Linked DNA regions of Ovis aries. The protein of the gene in region 1 purifies or fractionates together with the protein of each later gene. This does not show direct contact. Links are inferred from orthologs where the notes say so. Each region holds a gene or a part of one and is shown in the gene's direction. Other genes may lie near its edges.

The links. The genes of interacting proteins can lie anywhere in the genome.
Region 2: the proteins of protein argonaute-1 (region 1) and TARBP2 purify together in Homo sapiens (co-immunoprecipitation; 4 studies listed by BioGRID and IntAct, with this or other methods). This does not show direct contact. The link is inferred for Ovis aries from reciprocal best matches to the Homo sapiens genes AGO1 and TARBP2.

What each region holds. Positions count from the first base shown.
Region 1 is NC_056054.1:10,833,082-10,836,647, forward strand, and holds part of protein argonaute-1, read left to right. Parts: intron 1-346; coding exon 347-494; intron 495-3,566.
Region 2 is NC_056056.1:133,004,814-133,007,657, reverse strand, and holds the end of TARBP2 (RISC-loading complex subunit TARBP2), read left to right. Parts: intron 1-66; coding exon 67-139; intron 140-360; coding exon 361-478; intron 479-773; coding exon 774-901; intron 902-1,546; coding exon 1,547-1,748; intron 1,749-1,902; coding exon 1,903-2,060; 3' UTR 2,061-2,328; downstream 2,329-2,844. Other genes in the region: NPFF (pro-FMRFamide-related neuropeptide FF), read right to left, coding at 2,661-2,778. UniProt on the Homo sapiens protein: Required for formation of the RNA induced silencing complex (RISC). Component of the RISC loading complex (RLC), also known as the micro-RNA (miRNA) loading complex (miRLC), which is composed of DICER1, AGO2 and TARBP2.

The sequences.
Region 1 (3,566 bases):
CAGCTGAGATCCTGGGTTAGACCTTGGGGAAAGTTGTCACTGATATCATCTAAAATCTTCCACTTCAGACTGTGCTGGACCATGAGTGACTACTGTGTGTCGGACTTCATGTTCAACATTAGAAATACAGATGAATCAGATATGATCTGACCATTGTATAACTTGTTTTTCAAATCTTTGGCTTCACTCTTGAGCCCTGTGTTGCCTCTGCTTTCCCGTGAGTGGCAGGAGTGTTCACAGAGGCTGGAAAGGAATGAAGTCAAGTCTGGCCTTGTGCATGGTTATAGGTCTAGAAAGGTGTTATTGAATGCTGGACTATGACACCTCTTTCCCTTCCCCCAAACAGGTTTCCTCTGCAGCTAGAGAGTGGACAGACTGTGGAGTGCACAGTGGCCCAGTATTTCAAGCAGAAATATAACCTGCAGCTCAAGTATCCCCACCTGCCTTGCCTGCAAGTTGGCCAGGAACAAAAGCATACCTACCTGCCCCTAGAGGTGAGGCTGCCAAGTAATGGCCGGGCTGGGGAACAAGCATTGTACCTGCACACAGATCGTCAGAGGTCTGTTCTTCCATTTATAGTCTCATCATTTTAAGGCTTGGAAAAGTGATATTCTGAGAGGTCATTCTGTGAAATGCAGTCATCATTCTAAACTGCTGAATTCTTTACTTATCCTCATCCTGCTCTCATGGTTTTTCAGGACTTCCAGACAGAGGCGAAGCTATATGTATTTACTGTTTAATAAGTAATTAGTCATTCAGGACAGAGATTTCAGATACCTGCACACGTGTCCTTTATTTATTTATTTATTTTTTGATTTCTGTATGGCTTTATTTATAGTTGACATACAATAAACTGCACATTTCAAGTGTACCATTTGATGCGTTTTGACATCCCTACAATAAAGATAATGAACACTCTAAGATACACTCATGTCCTCTTAATTTCTCTTTCCCTATCTGGAGCTGGGAATCCTAAATAACCTAAAGATACAAATGTACTTTATTTTACAGATATTGGAGGTGAATGTTACCTGTAATGGAAATCCTATTTCCCCAGTCATCAATGTGTTCCCTTTGAAAAAGTTTTAACCAAGATTTGTCATATTTTTATGCTTCAGCCAACCTTTGAAATTCTGCAATTAAAGAAAGAATAGTAATGCTCTAGTCATAGAATGCAAATGAAGAACCACTAGTCTGCATTTGGTTTGTTATATACTAGCCATAATGTTTCGGAGAAGGCAATGGCACCCCACTCCAGTACTCTTGCCTAGAAAATCCCATGGACGGAGGAGCCTGGTGGGCTGCAGTCCATGGGATCGCGAAGAGTCAGACACGACTGAGCGACTTCCCTTTCACTTTTCACTTTCATGCATTGGAGAGGGAAATGGCAACCCACTCCAGTGTTCTTGCCTGGAGAATCCCAGGGACGGGAGCCTGGTGGGCTCCGGTCTATGGGGTCGCACAGAGTCGGACACGACTGAAGCGACTCAGCAGCAGCAGCAGCCATAATGTTTAGGTGTTCCCTGTTGGCAGCCAGAATGTCTACTGAGAACCTACCTCTGACTGCTTCATTGTCTAGTCCAGTGCCTCTCAGAGTGTGGTCAGCAGACCAAGAGCATAGTTATTACCTGAGAGCTTGTTTGAAATGCAGAATCTCAGGTTCCACCTAGGCTTGCTGTATCAGTATCTCTTTTTACAGAATCCAAAGATTCTGTCAAATATGAATGTTTATGTTGACGAAGCACTAGCCTAGAGTACTGTCTTATTCTCTTCTAGCACTGGGGGTCAGATATCTGGGACCTAAGCCTTCTGTGAGCTTTTGGGATTTCAGAACTAACCAGAGGAAGTTTGGCTGAGGGAGAAAGAAGAGATCCCCAAACCTAAGAACGCTGACATAGTTAATAGCTGCTGATGCATAGAAAATGAGGTGAGGACAGCATGTTCTCTGAGATGGAAGCAGAAGTCTTTAGGGGCAGTTTCAGCTAAGTAGATAGGCTTTAGGTAATAGCTATTGCAAGCTGAGATCTGTTAGCAAATTGACATGATTTCTGTTTAAACAATAGTTTCCATGGTGAATAACTTATATAATGACATATTTTGATTTTTACTGTTGCTTATTTATTTAACAAATATTTATTGAGCTCCTGTTAAAGTCATATACTCCGAGGTGCCAGGAAGGCAACAAGAGAAGCAGGGCTCTTACTGTCATGGAGCTTAAAATCTAGAAGGGGGAAATAGACAAATAAGATAGTTTCAGATGGTGATAAGTACCATAAGGTTAAGGTGAGGTGAGGTGAAGTCGCTCAGTCGTGTCCGATTCTTTGCGACCCCATGGGCTGTAGCCTACCGGGCTCCTCCGTCCGTGGGATTCTCCAGGTAAGAATACTGGGGACAGTCATAAAGTGGAGGGGGTTGGAGATTCACTTTAGTTTTTGTGGTCAGGGAAGGCTTCTTTTAGGAGACATTTGAGCTGAATCCCAAATTATGAGATAGAACCAATCTTTTAACAACCTGAAGGAAGAACCTTTCAGGCATGAGTTTAATAGCAAGTACGTAAGCAGCAGAGAGCTTGGATATTCTTGAGAGAGATAGAAGGACATAGTGACTGGCATGTAGTTTATGAGGAGAAAAGTAGGAGATGATTTTGGAGAGAGGTACAGGGTCAAATCATACAGGCTATTGTAGGTGATATATTTTTTTCAGAATAGCTTTATTGAGACGTAATTCGCATCCCATAAAGTTTGCCCTCTTAAAATGTACACTTCAGTGGTTTTCAGTGTATTTACAGAGTTACATAATCATTACCATCGTGTGATTCTAAAGCATTTTCATCATCCTTCCCCCAAAGAAAGACCAAACCCATTAATAGTCACTTAGCATTCCTTCTGTCCTCCACACTAGCCCCTACTAATCTCTAATCTGCTTCTGTCTCTATGGATTTGTCTGTCCTGGACATTTCATACAAATGAAATTATGTAATACATGGCCTTTTTAAACTGGCCAGTTTCACTTAGCATAATGTCTTCAAGGTTCATCTACATTGTAGAGTATGTCAGAACTCCCTTTTTAAGGTTGAATAATATTTCCATGTATGTATGTAACACATTTATTGATGGATACTTGGGTTGCTTTCACCTTCTAGCTATTATGAATAATGCTGCTGTGAAGATAGATGTACAAATATTTGTTCTAGTCCCTGCTTTCGTTTCTTTTGAGTACATACCCAGAAGTGGAATTACTGGATCATATGGTAATTCTGTGTTTAATTTTTTGAGGACTCACCATACTGTTTTCCACACAGGTGTACCGTTTTACATTCCTACCAGCAGTGCACAAGGGATCCAGTTTCTCCACATCTCTGCTTTTTTTTTGCCTTGTGTTGATTCTGTAATTGAAATTATCTGCACCTTTAAATTGCCTTCAAGAGAGCAACCTTACAAATTTTAACAATTCTGGGTTTTCATTAAGTAAATTGACTAATGTGTATTCTTTGAAATACAGAGTTTAAGGGTAGATGACCTTGTCCTGGTTTTCCCTACCATTGTTCACCATGAACTCTGGAAATT
Region 2 (2,844 bases), on another chromosome or scaffold:
GACTCCTGGGCAGCTGCAGAAGGAGCCAGTCCCCTCAGCTTTGGCCCTGGGCCCTTTTTCCTTCAGGAGCTCCCCCATGGAGGCGCAGCCCCCAGTCTCTCCTCAGCAGTCTGAGTGCAACCCGGTCGGCGCCCTGCAGGTGGGCTGCATCCTCATTCCCCCTGCCTGCCTGCCTTCGCTTGTACCTGGGGCTGTGGGGGAAGCTGATAGGGGCCAGGTACCCTGTTCTGAGGGCTTTCCCCACCCACCTCCCTTCACTCCTCCTCTAACCTGGAACCTGAGACTCCGGGACGGGAGTGGGGGGGATGTGAGGACTCCTCTCTCACACACTCTTGCACACCCTTGTTTCTCCCTTCCAAGGAGCTGGTGGTGCAGAAAGGCTGGCGGTTGCCTGAGTACACGGTGACCCAGGAGTCTGGGCCAGCCCACCGCAAAGAGTTTACTATGACCTGCCGAGTGGAGCGTTTCATTGAGATTGGTAACTGGGCGGAGGGGAGTGCTTGTAGTGACTACCCCGCAGCACTCCAGCCCTGGCCAGGGGCAGCTCCCAGCTTCTCTCTACGCTCCTGGCTGAGACCCTGGTTTGGCTGCTGCTTCCTTGCGCCCTTTCTTGCCCTCCTCTTCTGGCCAGCCGGGTTCTTGGGTGCCTGGCAGATCCTGAGTTCCCCTTTTCAATTGACAGCCACTGAGGGGACCCTCAGCCCAAGTTTAAGCTGGGTGGAAGCAATGGGTCTACTGGGAACCATAATTCAGCAGCCCTCTCCCCTGTGCAGGCAGTGGCACGTCCAAAAAGCTGGCAAAGCGTAACGCAGCGGCCAAAATGCTTCTTCGAGTGCACACAGTGCCTCTGGATGCCCGGGACGGGAACGAGGCAGAGCCCGAAGACGATCACTTTTCCATTGTGAGTGGCTTTTGGGCCATGCCCCGTGCTCCATCCTTCATGCCAGGGTAGGGCACTGAGGACTCAGGTCTGTGACTTGGAAGTGAGCTTCCTGGGCCCCAGACCTCCTTCTGCCCATTTTCCTTCTGGACCCAGGGATCCTTGGGCCCCCTTTCAGCCTCAGCTGTAGGGCTGCGTGGTGAGTGCTTTGGGGAAGGGAGCTGGCCCAGGGCAAGGGACCTGAGGCTTCTGTTATTGGAATAGAAAGGTTGCCTGACCATCTGGTCCACAGTCTAGTAGTTAGAAGGGGCCACACAGGGATTGGGCTTCCTGGGTGGCTCAGTGGTAAAGAATCTGCCTGCCAAGCAGGAGATACAGGTTCAATCCCTGGATCAGGAAGATCCCCTGGAGGAGGAAATGGCAACCCACTCCAGTAGTTTTGCCTGAAAAATTCCATGGACAGACGATCCTAGTGGGCTACAGTCTGTGGGGTTGCAGAAGAGTCAGGCACGACTTAGAGACCAAACAATCCAGGGATTGACTGGCAGGTGGGAAGCAAACAGGAGGAAGCATTCTTTGGGCTTTTCTCCTTGGGCATGGAATGTCTCTTCAGGGCCTGGTTTCAGAGCCCCTGGCTGCATCCTTCCCCCGTCCCTGTCTTGTCAGGGTGTGGGCTCCCGCCTAGATGGACTTCGGAACCGAGGCCCAGGCTGCACCTGGGATTCTCTGCGGAATTCAGTGGGAGAGAGGATCCTGTCCCTCCGCAGCTGCTCCTTGGGCTCCTTGGGCGCTCTGGGCCCTGCCTGCTGCAGTGTCCTCAGTGAGCTCTCTGAGGAGCAGGCCTTCCATGTCAGCTACCTGGATATTGGTATGGCTAGTCGGGGGGCCGGGGGACGGTGGGGACTAGACCAGAGCAAGTATGGATGGGAATGAGGGCTTGGGAGGGCGTGACAGTGACATGGACCCGCCCCAGTGCTGCCTTCCTGCCCAACATTGCCTCCCTCTTCTCTCTCGGTCTCCAGAGGAGTTGAGCCTGAGTGGGCTCTGCCAGTGCCTGGTGGAGCTGTCCACACAGCCAGCCACCGTGTGCCATGGCTCTGCAGCCACCAGGGAGGCAGCCCGTGGCGAGGCTGCGCGCCGTGCCCTGCAGTACCTCAAGATCATGGCGGGCAGCAAGTGAAGCCACGGCAGGACTCATGAAATACATCCTCTGCTCCCTGCTCTTCCTGCGCCCGGCCTGTGAGCCTGCCCAGCTCTGGTACCCCCTGGAGGTGCCACCTCTACCTCTGACACAGACTGCAGGCTGAAGAAGGCACAGGGCCAGGAGCCAGGGACCACAGGGCCTCAGCTGGCTCAGGTTCTGCCGTCATGTAACTGGTGATGACCAAGGGGAATGAAACTGGGGGCTTTCCCATTAAGAGCCCCAAATAAATGTGCTGCTTTTTGGATTCTTTAGTCCTGGTCTGTTTCCCTGAGTGGTCAGCAGTGGAGGGGGTTAGCGCCAGGTCACGTCCCCGGTGTGCCTCCCACTCTGCTCCCCACGCGTCCCCATGTTTGCCCTTCTGGTGGGTGCACTGACATCTGGGTACACCATCGCCTGTGTTCCTGGAGAGTTGGGTTTAGTGGTGGTGGGGGAGGCTGTGGTTCTTGTCTTGGGACTCCCTCCTGTGTCTCATGATGCAGACACGTGCACACGGATTCAGAAGCCAGACAGCTTTATTCGCAGGGGACACATGGCAGTTTGGGGTGTGGGCCTTGAATGCAAACCTCAGATGACACGTCACTTCTTCCCGAAGCGCTGAGGGGCAGCCAGGCTCCAGAAGGGGGAACTCAGCCCCTCTCCAGCTCGGGGACTCAGTCTTTTGTTGCTCCAGGAGCCCCGGGTGTTTCTGCCAAACCTTAGGAGAGATCCACCCTCAGCTATGGGTCCTTCCAGATCCCCACTTTCCTCCTCTCCTCCCACT